Styela clava: one gene and its partner. The protein of the gene in region 2 binds, or shares a complex with, the protein of the main gene of each other region. Links are inferred from orthologs where the notes say so. Each region holds a gene or a part of one and is shown on either strand. Other genes may lie near its edges.

Region 1 (8,877 bases), on a different chromosome or scaffold from region 2:
TGGGGTACATTGCCCGATTATATCTTGTTCTGCTTCGTATTTTTGCAAATTTGATCAATCCCTGTATCACCGATAAAATTCCACGGAGTAAAGTTAATTTAGCACAATATTGATTGAATAATGAATATACATTACAATAATTATCTTGTATATTATCATATTTCAGAAAAAAACCGTGTAGGGGACCGTCGGTAGTGGAATTGATAATATTGGTACATCGAGCGCACTATTGACTGTTTCGATTTACGTGACAACGGCATGGCTATTCATTCAATTATAATGTGTGCGGTAGCGTAGGTACAATAAATTTTGCGATTTACGATGTCCATGAAAGCGTTCTTAATCTGTACCCCTGTCGGAACCCCCTGGCCGCGCAACTGGTCACACCAAATGGGAAATGGACAAAATTGTTCCATAATTTCAGTAGGAGGTTGAGCGCAGCAATAGTTTCTTCACTGTTTTTTAAAAAATTGGTGTTAGCATTTTCATCGGATGGTATTAAACTTGTATGACACAGCCCCCTCAACTTTATGAACTGTAGTGTTGAATGATCTCAGTTTCACTTCTTGAGAGTCGGTGATCAAGAAAGCACTGCTTTCCTCCAACTTTGGTGATATATTTTCAGCATCATGACTTGTGTAAAACAGAACATCGAAAGAACCTGTTTTGTATTGCAATTTAAGATTTTATCTAGCAATTGCATGTAGTATTATTACTGGTAATGCGTCTATCACTAGCCAGTGACTAATGAAGAATTTAAAAAGAGGCAAAGGAAGGATGTATCAAAAATGTGGGAACCACTGGTTTCCAAGGTTAGTATGTTGAGCCCAATTATGTTGATGTGAATATTGAAGAGATAATCAAACCAAACTTACAGACAGTTTCCAAGAGAGGCAAGAATGTAACCGTAGCTGTTATTTGTCTGATTACAGCACATATTTCTTTATGAATCTCTGCAATTTCCTTGGTTCTAAATCAATGCAATGAATAAATTGATATTTGAAAATTGAAACCTGATGGTATCTATGACTATATAATACTGCTGTTTTGATATAAATCTCAAAATAACATTTTTAAATGCTTGAATTTTCCAACTACTATGAGTTCACTGAATTTCAACAAAAGTGAAAACATACTGAATCACTGTATTTTAAACACTGGCTCACCGGCATATGAATATTATCCTGCAAACACATCTAATTGATGAACAGAATTTAAAATGGCAAATCCTACATTTGTAAAATTTTGTAACGACTCTGAAACAATGTTGTTGGGAGCGGGACATTGAAAATGCTTGTAACGACTCTGAAACAATGTTGTTGGGAGCGGGACATTGAAAATGCATTCATTTTATGATATTTCATCTCTATGGAATGTACACAAAAATGTCTGTTGGATGATTTGAATGTTTCCATGATTTTTTTATCTGATTTGGAATAAAAATGGTTGAAAGTCAGAGTCTTGAAAGATGAAAGGGCTTGAAGCATTGAAATGGGGTCTACATCTTTTTGAAGCAATAGGGCCATAAGTATAAATAAAATCAATATATGACCTACTTGTGATTCTTTTCTCCATCTTTAGAAGTTACTGTCTTGTCACAATCTATTTCAAACTGCCATCTTTCAAGTGGTTCCTTTGTGTCAACATCTTTTATAACGACAACAAGCCTGTTGACAACACCTTGTTCTAACCATTCTGTGCATAAAATATTATCATATAAGTTATCATATGTCAAATCCCAAGCAATATATGACATGGGGTTCGCCAGAATAGCATTCTTTTTCCCAGATTTCCATCAGATCATCTCAGTAATTTTAGGATTCTCAAATAACTATAACACGAAAAGTTTCATAAGGTAATTCAAACTACATTTCAAAGAGATTTTGTTAAAGAACAAAATTAAATACCAGAGTATATTGTCACTTATGGGCTATGGCCCCAGGCATATATCGAGCATAGCTTGGCTTTGAGTAACAATGAAACAACTTTTGAGAACAGGAAACAAGAAATTTGTTACATATAGGCTACCTAGCATAATATTTTGAAAGATCATTGAGATGAAATTGGACAACAATTGAAGAAATTTACATGACAATGGTAACAAAATAAATACTATCACAATTCTCAGATTCCAATTTTCTCACCTAGGATTTGAAATGCTATTATTTATGTTGCAAAAGTATGGCACTAAAAGGAAGGTTAATTTCCATAAGACACGACTATCAAACGTGACTAGCCAATTATTGTCTTCTATTAAAGTCTAAAGATATCAGATGATGTAAGTAATAAAAATTTCCTTATTAGATCACAAAACTGATTATAATAGTTAGCGAACATGAAAAATGAATCAGAAGTTGATTTCAAAATTGAATTTGGAGATCACCGGTTAATTGTGGACAAACATTTTCCTCCAAATATTCTTTAATCTTGTCATCTGTGCAAACAAGTATGGTCAGTCCATATTTTTTCTCTCTGGTAAACATTTCCGCTGGATATATTCCACGTTGATATAAAATGCTGTTGATTCCATAGTCTGAATTATAATCAAAATAGAGCATGCAATACGGTAGAAAATTCAGAGAGCCAAATCATTATTCGAAGGGGTACCATGATAATAACCAATAGGCTATATCAAAAACCAAGCTTGATCGCTTTTAATCTGCTATTGTAAATCTGTAAACATCATGGCACCATGTACTGAAAAAAAAAAGACTACTGTACATTCTATAAAATCCAATCAAATACAAGCTTGTACTGTGCTTCATGCACTACAGCATGGTGCTGACCTCGAGCCTGAAAGTCAAGTCTAGCATATCATAAACTGAAAATGCTGTGTCTAACCATTTATCTAGGTCGCTAGGATATAGTAATAACAGCATGAATCAATTAGCATGAAAAACTCACAGAAAAATTCGGAAACAATTGCTGCTGATCCTTTTAGCGTTATTTTATTCAGTGAAGCCTGTTGAGTTGGAGGCATGTTTAATTCAAAGTATCAGATTCTACACATATATAGACCAATAACTGGAAACAGAAACATATTAAAAACCACTTCGGAAAGGACACAGACGGCGATGCCTGGATGTGGAGCATCATGCTACTGTGCTAATCGTTAACTTAGCGATATTACGTTACATATATGGCATGGTATGCTTACCATGCACCCCTGTGCAAGAGGAGTAAGACATATCGTAATCGCTGGTCAGTTGTTCATGGCTTACGCAACACAGCAGAGGGGTTAGATGGGTGAATCTCACAAACTTGACATCCCGATTCAAGATTTTGTGCAGCTGTTAACAAGGATTTAAAAAAACGCTGGTGCAGTGAAAGTGGGAAATGTTTCTCCGGACAACCACAAATTCGTGTTTATGACATCCATTAGGCTAGTATTTTTCTCTATTTTGCTTTTAGAAGGGAAAAAATGAGCAGTCGAGAGGCTGGAGTATATATGATTGCTGTCCAATGACTTCTGGCAGGCATGCGAAATACACATTATGTTGGTCTGCTAAGTCAATGGGGTCTAGTGTAGTTTCGTACCTCAGGTACTTCTGGTTGGCATAGCATACTAACCCCCACATGACTGAGTCATCCAAAAATTACGTCACCACGACGTGATGAGGCCCTTCAAACTATACGAACTGTCATCCAAGACGCGCAGGCAATCACCCGAAATTGAACAAGCTATTTCTTTCGTTTTCTCATCGCAATGATCCCAATATGAGAGAGATCCCTGCCGTTAGTGAGTTTATTATCGTCAACGCAGATGCTATTTCAGGTGATCGTAGGTATATTTTGGCAAGCTCCATGACGTGATTGCGACGCAATTTTTGGATGGCCTAGTTAGGTGGGGTTAGGAATAGGATTGATGTGCAAATATCGTTATGCTACCCCCACAAGAAGTACTTGAAGTCGAAACTACACGAGACCCAACTCACGACCTTCATTCCGTGGTTTAGTGGGAAAATAAATTGTCCCCTACGAGCATTTTTTCGACACCAAGTTTAACACAGACTGGTTCGATAACTTCTTCAAACCAGCAGATGAATGTACTGGTATCAAACTATCCACTTGGTGTTGCATCATATACTGTCCCCAGCAGGGCCATCGGTCAGTCGGTGGTCCAGGATCCATAGGCGTTTATTTCCAAAGACCAGTACCACAAAAGGCAAGAGGCTTCCAGCAGCGGGTCCGCAAAACATAATTGATATTGAACTTTCGCAAATCATCTCCACTCTGTTACCGGTAGCTTGTTTCCTGCCACGATCATCACGAGGATTTGTTTGGCTGTAATTGAATACTGGAATAAGTTGGTTGGGGGTAAACACGCCGCTATTTTTAAATTTGGTTGAAATAATTTATTATTTCTTCTCAGCAAACATCTGCACTATCTCTTTTAATGTTTGAAGCGAGGATAATGGGATAACCCCTTACTTCAAACCTTGGATCAGTGGATAGAACCGTTCAAACTCTGCATCTGCCGACCCATCGACTTTGAACCCTGGCATAAATATAGGGTGGTCCAAAAAATCAGGGGTCTAGTATAGTTTAGTACCACAAGTACTTCCAGTGGGCGTAGCATAACGAATTTTGCATATGTTATTCCTAACCCCCACCTGACTATGCCATCAAAAAATTACGTCACTACGACATCACCATCACGTCATAGGACTTTTTAAAGTATAATTAAGATTGCCCGAAATGGCATATGCGCCGTCTATAACCTCCTCCTATCGGGATCGTTGTGGCGAGAAAACGAGAGAAATAGCTTGCTCGATTTCGGTGATCGTCTGCGCGTTTTGGACGACCATCTGCATACTTTGGTGGGCGACGTCGAAATGACGTAATTTTTCGGTGACGTAGTTAGGTGGGGGTTAGGATTGACATATGCAATAATTGTTGAGCCAGGCCAACTAGAAGTGCATGTGGTACTAAACTATACCAGACCCAAAATCAGAACCGAGTTCATTTGAAACACATTTTTGCGGTGACTCTGTAGACAGGTAGAGTGTAGACCAGGGGTGCCGAACTCGCGGCCCTCGAACGCTTAACAATTATTGATATATTTTGTAAGGTTTTTAATCTAAATGTAATACATTTTTTAAAACTTCCCAATTGAAATTGATTATCCACGCAGAACACGACAAATTACAGAAAGTAGTTTTGAAAAATTACAAATTTTTTTGTTTCGTTTTGACCTGATTATGGATACACCTCAAGCTAGCAAGAGAATACTTGAAAAAAAACAGTTCAGTGATTAAGAAGAAATGCAAAGTACATGAAGAAGGTGGCATTTATCTAAAAAAAGGGGGGGTTGCAATATTTTCAAAATTCGAAATCCAACTGTTTAATTTGTCACTTTTCTATCAGTACATTGAATAAATACAATATAAGTAGACATTATCAAAGTAAGCCCAGCAGTCAATATGACAAATTTGAATATCAACTTCGAAACATGAAACTGTTGCAGTTGAAAGCACAGCTAAATCAGCAGCAAACCTGTCTTGTAAAAACAGTTGGAACTTCTCAAAAATTTATCGTTGACAAGAAATACAGTTGCTACTAGAATTGATAAGATGTCCGCAAATTTAAAAGAACAAATAAAATTTGCGTCTGCTAACTTTGAATATTTTTTCTTATCATTCGATGAATTGTGTGATATATCAGGCACTGCACAACTTGCGGTCTTTATATAAGCTTGTGATGCTAAGTTACAAATAAGGGAGTAATTTCTGAATTTAATCAAACATTCTCAACGATGCAAATTAACCGATGGTCATGTGACCTCGTTACTAAGAATTGGTAGCCTACTGTAAAATCATTTCAGCCTGATATTAGTAAGCTGTTTAAGTTTATTCTGTATTTTTGTAGATTTTAGGTTTATATACAGGGAGTCCTCGACTTACGACGCAGTTCTGTTTCTGAGACTCGGTGTAACCCAAATTTCAGTGTAAGTCTGAACCTTATACTGTACAGTGGTACAGTGCATGAATTGCAAGTGTGCAACAGTGCAGTATCTTAACATCTTTTTTTTGCTTTGAGTCCATAACAAAGGGCAAAAGTAAAAAAAAAAACGATCAAACAAGTTACGAAAAAAACGACTTAAACAACCAAAATGACGTACAGTATCACTGGAACTGTGTACAGTACTGTACCATGTGACTGAAGCTTAGTGATTATTCGTTCATATTCGTAATAGTTCGCAATTGGTCACGTCGTGTACGATGTAAATAACGAAAACCAATGAGCCCAGAGCACTGATTTTCCTGATCACAATGATCCAGTTTATAGGCTTAGATATTACAGTACAGTATTATCTTTTATATCTGTATATGTTCGTAAAGTGCGTTCGTAACCTCGAAACAGCGTTATGGAGTGCGCGTTTGTAACCTCGAAACATCGTAAGTCGCGACCGTCATAACCCGAGAACACCCTGTATTAAGATCAAGTCATTTTTGTGTATGCATGTTTTGGATAGTTGTACAGTTGTATGTAAAAATTTATAATTTTTTGTAATAAATAAAGTAAATTGCAATAATAGTGCAAAGGAAAGAAATTATTATGAAAATGCCATTTGAAATTTAAGAAAATAGCAAAATTTTATTTGGCTGTTTAATTACAACACAATATGTATGATTGATTGATGTATCATAAAATAGAAATGCCCAAAGTATACCGTACATTATCAAAAACTGTTTTCGGCCCTTGGCACAATTCCCAATATACAATGCGGCCCTCGAATACACACGAATTTGACACCCCTGTTGTTGTTGTTTTGTTTTTTTTAAAGGTCCACGTTGTGGATTCATAACAGTTTTGTAAAAATAAATAAATGATGAAAAAATAATAATCATAGAACATAGTTACATATAATAAACAAATATATTCGTAAACATTCAGTATTATCCAGCAATTCATATTATTCCATTGTTGATTCCAGATAAAGTTTCCCATGTTTATCAGTAAATATACATTAATTTATATGTTTTTAATTTATAGCAGAAAAATAAAAATTTATACAATTAGTCATAGATTCTTACAAATTATGTCTAGTTCTTTTATAAAACTAGGATTATGTCTAAGTTGTTCTATATTTCTCCTTGCTAAAAGGGATTTTCTAATTCTTGTTACGACACTATTTACACTTGGATTAACATTTTCAAAAATAACTGCATTACGTTCTAACCATATTTTATATCTTGCAGTACACAGAAGAAGTATGACTGCATTACGTTCGACTAATGATAAATGTGAAAAACACTGATTATTTAGTTCTAGTAAAATACATGTTTTATAAATATTTTTTAACTCGCAATTGTTTATTTTTAATACAACAGAAAAAACATAATCATATACATTTTGTGTAAATGCACAGTTCCAAAATAAATGAGATATAAATTCTGGTTCTTTAAAACAAAGTACACATAAATCATTTCCAGTAATATGTCTAATCCTTGGTTTAACTTTTAGTGAAAGAATGTCCCACATAAGTTTATAATTGAAAGTTTTCATATTATTAGCCAATATTTTACAATGTATGTTTGAACAAGCTCCTTCCAAACTACCATCTCTAAGAAACACTATTCTGTCACCCCTCTTCAAATTATCAACTATTTTATTATAAATTATTCGATGTTTCCCTTGTTCTAAATCAGTTCCAGCAATGTTATATTGCCGAAGGAAAGTAATAATGGCTCCATAATATCTATTGGGGAAAAAGGTATGTGATACACTATTATTTACAGGTATTTTAAAAATAACACTCAGTTGTTGCCCTATGTTATATTCAATGAAATTATATACGGATTGTCTACAGTGTTCAATATTAGCATTAATTCTATCACAGTACCGGTATTCTATCACAGACACCCCTGTTGTAGACTATGTCTGTATGCTGGTACGGTACGGTATGTAACGCGAATGCTAACTTACCTTAGAAACAGCTTGGAACCCGACGACCGAATTGTTGATTGTTCAGTGAGACTGTTTTGATTTTCCCGGACAAACGCGGCCACTCTAATCACCGGAACGGCCAAGACTATTCAACCAGGTTGGTAAGACGAGGTATTGATTTGATCAATCAAACCCTCTGTATGGTACCATCCTGTTTAATTATGATTGATAAAATATATTTAGAAGCTTTTGAAAAAGACTTAACTAAAATTTAGGCAGTGACACTGGCTCCGAACATTTGCAAGCACGTACACTCGGACATATTCACAAATGGATGTTTGTCCCAATGAATATTTCCAGTCGCAAATATCCTCAAGAATACAAGATATCACGTTTTTAATAAATTTTCGATCATCTGAACGGTAATTTCTAGAAGGAGCCGCTATAGGCTAGCAGTTAGAATCGATGAACTGAAAAATCTGAATATGTTTACTATCCTTACCAATTAGGTTATATGTTTTCTCGAAATTTGGTCTTTATAAGCATCATAAAACAGGAAAATAACTTTTCTTTGCTAATATTTGTACAATAAATAGGGCACCAAAATTGTGTATAATGAAAAGTTGCGAAATACTATAAATGATTGAGTTGTGGAACTTATCAGTAGTATGACACAATTGCAAATAAGAGTATCATCAGGTTTGGGTGGATGTCAAATTGAAAGTAATATGATTAGAACAATCAGTCATTGGGTTTTATTAGTAAAATGCTTCGGTGGAATTTAATTATGTCAGATGCAAGAGATATGGTAAAATAATGAAGAAATTTTCAATGTTGACGGAATATCAAAATATAACACTAGACAGTATTATTTGCTATTTGGGTGAATATTGAATCAAATAATAATAGCAATTGTTTAATTAAATTGCAAAATATTGGCATGCAAAGATGAAATTAGACATTCTAGCAATTTCATTGTCACAAAAC
Region 2 (8,522 bases):
AATATATTTAGTTTTTGATTCTTATTTTCGTACTCACGAAAAATTGTCACAAGTCAGAAAAAGAATTTATACTTTATCCCGCTCTTGGGAACTAATTTGGATAATGGTTGCCATTGGTTTGTATTTAAAAGTATGGACTTTTTACTAGGATGATTTTGTGCTGCGCAAAATATTCGAATCCATGACCGATACCACTATTTAAAATGCCTTACCATGTTAATTTAATTCTATTATCATAACTCAAATGTTGGCAAATCGGGCAGTTTACCACACATTTCAAGGTCACAGATCGCCGTTGCATTTTAGAATTATAATAGTTTTATTATTTTGTAAATACGAATCCGAAATTAATTATAATTGGACAGTTTACCACGTATTTCATGTCCACAAATACCCGTGGTATTTGGTATCAATACTTTCATTATTTTATCAATATAAAAATAGGAATCAATATTTAATAAAATCGGTCAGTTTACCACACATTTTATGTCCACAGATTGTCGATACAACCATGAGTTACGTTGAACAGAATTAAATTAAGACGGCATGACATTTTAAAAGCTGGTACCAGTCATGGATTGCATTATTTTGCGCAACAAAAAATCATCCTAGTAAAGGATCGATACTTTTAACCATCGTTATCAGAATTATTTGCCAGAAATTATTTTCTAATAAATCGACTTGTTTTTCCAACTTGTGACAATTTATTGAACATCGTAACAATGACGGCTATGAATACCGTATTTCCCGGCTAATAAGTCCACATGGCAAATAGGACGATGTCTATTTTTAGCACTCAAAAAGGGGTTTTTCCATATAGGCCTCCAATAAGACGGGTAGAAAAATTGTGTCCCTGTTGTTCAGTTATGCTGATATGCGCTAATAATTTTATATGTTTAGGACAAGATCATGTTAGTTTGGTAGAATCATACTCACAGAATTAACTATTTTTAACAATTGAGCGGTAAATTTAAGTTGTAAATCGGTAACCATTTTGGACAACCTATTAACCCAAACATTGAAATAATTTTGAAATGTGATAAGTAATACACTGTACGTCCACGGGTTATTGTACAGCTGTGTTTTCCTGTCCCTGTCGTGTTTTGCTGAATCCGCAAAACGAAAGGGTCGCAAATCACTTTATCTCGGTGACCAGGTTTCTCTTTGAGGTAACGATAACCGGCCTGCGATAAAATATCATGATTGGCAGACCCTAAGACCCGAATATAAGGTTACACAAATCATGCTTGAGAAGACTCATGCAAATAATAAGCAGGCCACATAGAAATAAAATAATTTCGACGTCAATTTTTCGACGTAATGGAAATGAATTTGTAAATTAAAAGCCTCGTAGACGAATGTCGGCAATGTCCACCCACGCAAACTTGCAAATACCGTCGCAACACTATGCGACGTACGGTCGGTCGGTCGCACAGAATATAAACAATCAAAGTGCCGATTCTATTTCATCGTCATTACAATACGTGAGACAGCGTAAAAAGTCATTTGAAGATTCCCGTAAAACGAAACACCACGTTTACGGCGAAGAGTGGCTACTATTCGGAATTATTCGAAAATCAGCCGAAAAGGTATTCGAATACTTTGATATTCGAATACATTCGAATATTCGATTCGTTTTGGACAACCCTGCTACTACGTACCTACTGCAGTATGCAAGACCACCGCAGGTCATTGAGGCTCTTGATCATTTTGTTCACACTGTGATCAAACTTCAGGTTGGATTGTGAGCGGTTTTGCATGTAACTTATTTCTGTATATTTAATTTAAAATGTACTCTTAACAGCATTTGCTTGGCGATTTTTGTGTAATTTATTAAAACTATTTTAATCATGCCGTTCATGTGCCAAAATGATAGTTACTCAACGCTGCACACTGCTGTTGTTCAGACAGTCACTCCTGCAAAATGCAAAGTGTCAATATCTGGTGGAAAAGAACAAATGACTGAAGGTTATGAAGTCATTTTAGACGACACTATTTTATTTCCTGAAGGAGGGGGCCAACCTGATGATAGGGGAACTATAGATGAAGTTCCAGTTCTTAGGGTGACGAGAAGAGGGGGTGATGCTGTTCATTTTGTTCCGTCTAAACTTGAAGAAGGCCAGGAAGTAAAATTAAAAGTTGATTGGGAACGTAGATTCGATCACATGCAGCAACATACTGGTCAACATTTGATTACCGCGATCGTTGATAAAAAATTTGGACATCAAACAACTTCATGGGATTTAGGAAGGAACGTATCATTTATTGAACTGGATACTTTGAGTTTAACGATAGCTCAAATGCAAGAGGTTGAAGACGAGTGCAATCAGAAAATCAGAGATTCTACTCCAGTTACTGTTCATGTAACAGAAGTTGGATCGACTTTGCTTGAAAATGTTCGAGCTCGAGGTCTCCCGGAAGATCATGTCGGATCTGTTAGAATTATCGATATAAATGGAGTCGATGCCAATATGTGTTGCGGGACTCATGTGAAAAATCTCTCAGATTTGCAGTGTGTAAAACTCCTTAGTGTGGAGAAAGGCAAAAAAGGTAAATGCAATCTTTATTTTCTCGTCGGGAATCGTGTACTCGATTTTGTTGCTAAAAAATATGCAGACGAAAAATCTTTAACAAAAATATTAAAATGTGGACCGATTGAACATGTCGAGGCCGTCGAAAGAAGTGTAAAGCAATTAAAACAAACTCAAAAAGAAGCCAAAAATCTTCTCCGAGAAGTCGCTTCATTTGAAGCAAAATCTTTCAAGTTATCTGTATCAGAAAACAGATACTTGCGTCTTCATCGCAAAGAAGGAAATAATGAATATATGAACATCGTTGCAAATGAACTAAAAGGGATTGAATGTTACTTATTTCTCACAGTTGGTGATGAGAAAGGGGAAGGCTTATTCTTACTTTCAGGCCCAGATAAATTTTTAGAAGAGTGTGGCAAAAATATTAGCGATGCAATTCAAGGAAAAGGTGCAATGAATGCTGGCAAAATACAGGGAAAGGCGCTCAATATGAAAGGATGCAAGCAAGCTGAAGAATTGATTAGAACATTCATGTCAAAATAATTTTTTTTTTATTCATTCTCTGCTTTGTACACAGTGTCCTTCTATAAGCTTGTTTTGGAGAACTCGCATACGGAATACAATATTTTCATACTTGATTAATCCTTACCAACCAACGTACGTACCAACGACAAAACTCGCTAGATCGCGGCGGGTACTTTAAGTTAAGTCGCAAACTGTTGGTCTAGTTTTTACTGGGTTTTAGTTTATTGAAAAGAAGTCTTCTTCGAGATTATTAACATAAGCGACGTTAAGTTTAAATAAACTTTCCAACGAGCCGTCAGTGGGCAGCAGAGGATCATTAGTTATTCGTTAGTCGATCGATTAGTTGTGGGGGTACAAATGCATAAAATCGGCGTAGCAAATACGATTATTTAATAATAAATAAAAACACATGGAAAGGGTTGATTACCGCATTTTACCCAGTCATTCATATTACTTTCTCCCTCACCAAACAAGGTACATAAAAATTCCTAGCCTCGTTATAATGTATGTATTAGCCATATGACACCAAGTAGTACATCTCAATGAACCATTTTTCATCTTTGTTATTCGGACACAGATTTGTAATAACAGTATTGCTATTTCAAAAACTCTGTGTTTGGAATTTGAATAATCACACTTAGTAATCATGCACTGTTATTTTTTCTGAGGATATGCCATTCTTGCATTGAAAACTAGAAGAAAAAGTTATGATTTGTTATATTTGGTGGTTCATCTTACTTTCAGGAGTTCTTTTCTGTAACGTTCCGTCTGCAAAGTCCCCAGACCACTTTACAATTATAAGCCATGTTTGAGGTTTTTGAGTCATTAATTTCAACATATCATCCTTTTTTTGAATCCTGATCTTTTTTAGCGGTATTCAGAACTATAAAATACAAAGTACTTTGAAAAAGCAAATAACTTGACAGAACTTATTACATTGCATTTCCCCAAGCCTGGAAGGAACGCATTTTTGTTAGATTAGCCATTTATTACTTAAGACACTCACCCTTGAGTGATACATACCATATATGCACATACTCCTATAAACTTGACTATTTCTCCCATTTATAGTATGTGGTATCTTTTCTCGAGGGTGCTACATGTCCAAATTTTATTCTTATGTATATATATTATGTATTATATTTCATGTTGTATTGTCTCAATTTATTGATGTTGTCTTGTCCTACCAACTCCTTTGTACAAACAGTTGGGCATACTCCACCATTACCCATGTTGCCTAATCCACCCTCCTCGCACAACTGTCTGTATGAAGGACCATATTATACTTATTCGATTTATTGCATTTTATGCTTATCATAAGGGGTGTATGCCGCGCGTTCATGTGTTTTAGGCCAGTATGGTCTTGTGTATACATCCCGTCTTCAATGTTGATATTTACTAACTCCTGTGTTTTTGCTTTTACGAGACGAATAAACATACATACATACATACCGGTAGGTGGTATTACCTTCGGACATATTCATGCAGAATATTTATGATAAGATCTTAAAACAGAATACTGAATTATTAGATATAAATAAAGGAGTCTGTAAAATACCGTTTCCCACTTTTACGGTGCTCGTTGGAGGTGATATTTTCGAGACACTGAAAATACTGCTACCAACCTACTTGAGAGTTATTAGATATAACTTTGTGGTTGGAATATATTTTGGGAAAATTTATATGGTGCATTCATTTAATTTTAATCTTCCTATTTATAGTACTTGAATTATATTTCATTTGATTCTTATAGTTCAAACAATATCTTAATCAAAATTCATCATGACTTATATTTAAATGTATTTCATGTGCATATTTCTACAGAAATATCTTTTTGTCCAAATTACAAAATAAAATATTTTGAGCGCAATGGACGAACCAATAACTCCTGACAATACAAGAGTTGTCAGAATAATGGATGATTTCCACCAGTTCGTAAGATCAGCAGATCAACAACGTAGAGGAATTCCTTTTAATATGATTACTGAGGGGGAGACACATTCACACGGAAAACGATCATTTTCATCATCTTCTGAGGCTTTAAATCGAGCGAAATTTGCGGAAATGGAGAGTCGTCATGTCTCGGATGAACGAGCACATAAAATTGCCCGACTCGATCTCGAAAGTCGCAATGAAAAGCTGATTTCTGAAAACAGACTTTTAAAAGAAAAATGCGATGGGTTGCAACTCAAAGTCAAGCAAGTTACAATGCAAGCGATTACCGCACAAGACAAGTTTCAAGAATTACGGAATTCGCGCATGAGAGATAAAGAAAGTCTGGAAGAAATGCTTCTAGAATTGCAAAAAGATAAGGAAGCTTCGGAACGAGATTTACAACTAAACGTTGACCATTTACGGAATTCTAACGATGAGCTAAAACAGCGTAACACTCATTTATCCATGCAGAATAATGCTTTGCGAGAAAAATTAGAAGAAACTGCTGCTCTGTTGAACCATAAAACAAGCAGGGTTCAAAAATTGACTGAAGATTTAAAAGAATCTGGGAACAATGAACCGAAGTTACGAGAATATCAACTGAAAATACAGGATCTCGAGTTGAGACTCTCACGATCCAGTGAAGCGGAACAAATGGCGAAAATATTGAAAGACGATCTTGAACGCTTAAGAATACTTGAAATTGAAGTCGTTAAATTAAGAGGAAGGAATGAAATTTATAAAGAAAACGAGACAAATGTACTTCTCATGAAAGAAAAATTATTATCTGCTGAAACAAAACTATCTCACAATGAAAAACTCATCGAAAAAGCAGCTCTAACTGAGCTCGAAAATAAAGATCTAATTGCACAATTAAATGAAGCAAAAAAGAAAGAAATTTTACCTGTAACGGATTTACTTGCTGAGGTGAAGAAATTGCAACAAAAAGAAGCTGTGGCAGCATGCGATAAAGGACAAATACATGCAGAATTGCTAACATGTCGAATAAAATGTGAAGGAATGCAGAACAATATTTCAAATCTAGAAAAAACTATCGAGGAAAAAAATGAAGCGAATCGCACAAAAGATACACAAATAAGACTTCTTCAGAAACGAGCGTTGCTTCTCACTGGTGAGCGAAACAGCTTACGTTCAATTTTACAATCGTATGATTCTGAGTTATCAACAACCGCACACACCGATCAACTTATTTTACGAGCACAAAATGCTGAGACTGCGAATCAAAAAGTTCACACTCGACTTGTTGATGTGGAAAAAGAAGCACTGAACAACGCTACACTTGCTTCTCATTTAAAAGTTACGATAAAAGAAATGGAGAACAATATAAAGCAATTAGAACGGAAATTAGAAGAAGGCAGTGGTTCAAAAGCAGGTGAAAAAGAAATGGAAAATTTGCGTCAAAAAGTCGAAGATTTAGAGAAAGAGCGTTCTCGTTTACAAAAAGAAAAAGAACATTTAGAATTATGGGCAGAACAAAATAAAATGCGAGGGGATTATGATCCATCAAAAGTGAAAGTATTCCATCTTAAGATGAATCCAGCTGATATGGCACATAAACAGAGTGCATTAGAAGTTTCAAAATTGAGAGCAAAATGTCTAAAACTTGAAGAGAAGATTCACAAACTGGAGTCGAATCAGGACGTAACAACGACGAATATTGATGTGACGCAAGGAAAAGATTTTCAAGAAAAGTTGGCGGCTTCTGAATTGAAGAATCAAAGACTGAAAGAAGTTTTTAGTAAAAGAATTTTTGAATTTCGACAAGCTTGCTATACATTGACTGGTAAGTTTATTCTTGTCTTTTAATCTTCTGTGAGGCAATGAGTCCTGCAGACAGACCCGACTTTTAGTTAGGGTCTGCCTGAGTGTTTGGAGCATTTTATCTTACTATGTTGGTGTCGCTAGTTGAAGGTGCTTTGCGATTCGTAAGCATCGACGAATTTAGTCTCTGTAATTTTTGATGGAATGCGTTGATATTCTGCGACACAATCAATAAATCTTGCGACACATTAGTGCTCAGCGGTCCCCACATATTTCAAAATGAATGTCTTATGCAATATTCTTTTTTTAGGCTTCAGAATTGATTCTACTGCTGACAATCAGTACAAGTTGGTATCAATGTACGCAGAAAATGAAGAAGATCATCTCTTGTTCAAGTCTGATTCTTCGGGGGTGATGCATCTCTTGGAAACAAACTTTTCAACATCATTGGACAATTTAATCAAGCTACATTTACACCATCAGAATAGCATTCCTATGTTTCTGAGTAGTATTACTGCAGACTTATTCAGCCAACAGACTATGGTCTAATAATCATATTACGGAAAAATGTATTTGGTATTTTATGAGTCTGCTTAATTTATATTATGAAAGAACCTTCTATCAACAACATTTTAGACAAGATTTGTCATGTGCGTGAAAGCCTAGCACAGAGGTTTTTAAACTTTAACGATCTGTGACCTTAAACTTATTAAACACTGCAGCTTGAAAACTTGGGTCCCTGCTCTTCTATAACAATATCTGGCTGTGCTTTTATGTGTTTCCAACAAACTCAATCTAACAAACAAAAGTCAAAGAACAAATGCATCAATCGAAGTCATTTTACTTAAAATGAATGTAGTCATTTTGAATGGTACCAACTTAAAGTGAATGCCTTTGCTTGTTGCCCTCAAAGAACCACTCAAGGGCCCATTTTGAGAAATCCTGGCCAGTGTTTGGAGTGTTGTATTGCAGATTCAAACCCAAGACCACCAACTCATCTGGAATACAATAAATGTGTGCGCAATGTCAAACCAGGAACATTCCAGTCCAGTCTAGAAAATAGCATCACCTTGCACATGAGTGGCGGTACTCCTGTAGTCTGTGTTTGCAGTAGGCAATAATTTTATTCCGATTTTTTTAATTTTAGTTCTATTACGAGGTTAGAGACTGTCTGTGTTAGCCAAGTGAATATACCCTCTGCGTGTTGGCTTTCTTCTCTTTACACAACTAGATGTAAAGTAGGCGAAATAAATGCTTGCACCAATAATTGTTAGAACATGAAAATGCCGTAAAAAATTCAATGTTAACAAATTAAACATGAAGGGTATATTCTTTATTTATTACTTACCGATTTTAATCGGTATGTATGTTGATAAGTATTTGTCTGTCTGTCAGATGCACGCGATATCTCACAAAAGCGAGATTGGATCTGCTGCAGATTTTGCATGTGCATTTAACCAGACTCCAAATTTTTTGCCTATTCCATGAATTAATCTGGCTCCTGGTTGGCAAAAACTTTGATTCCAGGTCCATTATTATCCCCTCTGAAACCATCAGCATTCCCAGGTTCTTTATGTGCACCGAGATGGCGCACAACCTGAACATTGTATGTGTACCAGGTTAGGGTGCGCCATCTTCGGTGCACATACTTCTGAAGCGCCCTTCATTGTTGCACGAAATAGAGTAGTTTAAATTTTTGTTTGCAATAGTTTTGTAAAATTCATTGCCTAAGATTTGTATATGCATTGA

The links.
Region 1: the proteins of mitotic spindle assembly checkpoint protein MAD1-like (region 2) and mitotic spindle assembly checkpoint protein MAD2A-like are in contact, whole or in part, in a crystal structure (PDB 1GO4), measured with the Homo sapiens proteins. The link is inferred for Styela clava from reciprocal best matches to the Homo sapiens genes MAD1L1 and MAD2L1. Residues at the interface, in NP_001013858.1 of Homo sapiens: Glu527, Arg528, Ala530, Leu531, Gln532, Gly533, Asp534, Tyr535, Gln537, Ser538, Arg539, Thr540, Lys541, Val542, Leu543, His544, Met545, Ser546, Leu547, Asn548, Pro549, Thr550, Ala553, Arg554, Leu557; in NP_002349.1 of Homo sapiens: Tyr38, Leu61, Tyr64, Asn67, Val68, Trp75, Gln82, Lys83, Ser89, Ile91, Glu92, Ser93, Gly94, Arg99, Gln101, Ser150, Phe151, Asp152, Leu153, Leu154, Ile155, Tyr156, Thr157, Asp158, Lys159, Asp160, Leu161, Val163, Lys166, Trp167.

Annotation. Positions count from the first base shown.
Region 1 is NC_135260.1:18,873,302-18,882,178, forward strand, and holds the start of mitotic spindle assembly checkpoint protein MAD2A-like, read right to left. Parts: upstream 3,276-8,877; 5' UTR 2,981-3,275; coding exon 2,905-2,980; intron 2,534-2,904; coding exon 2,384-2,533; intron 1,696-2,383; coding exon 1,557-1,695; intron 971-1,556; coding exon 876-970; intron 662-875; coding exon 486-661; 3' UTR 1-485. UniProt on the Homo sapiens protein: Component of the spindle-assembly checkpoint that prevents the onset of anaphase until all chromosomes are properly aligned at the metaphase plate.
Region 2 is NC_135263.1:4,101,597-4,110,118, forward strand, and holds the start of mitotic spindle assembly checkpoint protein MAD1-like, read left to right. Parts: upstream 1-4,919; 5' UTR 4,920-4,925; coding exon 4,926-6,795; intron 6,796-7,083; coding exon 7,084-7,322; 3' UTR 7,323-8,522. Other genes in the region: alanyl-tRNA editing protein Aarsd1-like, read left to right, coding at 1,851-3,074. UniProt on the Homo sapiens protein: Component of the spindle-assembly checkpoint that prevents the onset of anaphase until all chromosomes are properly aligned at the metaphase plate.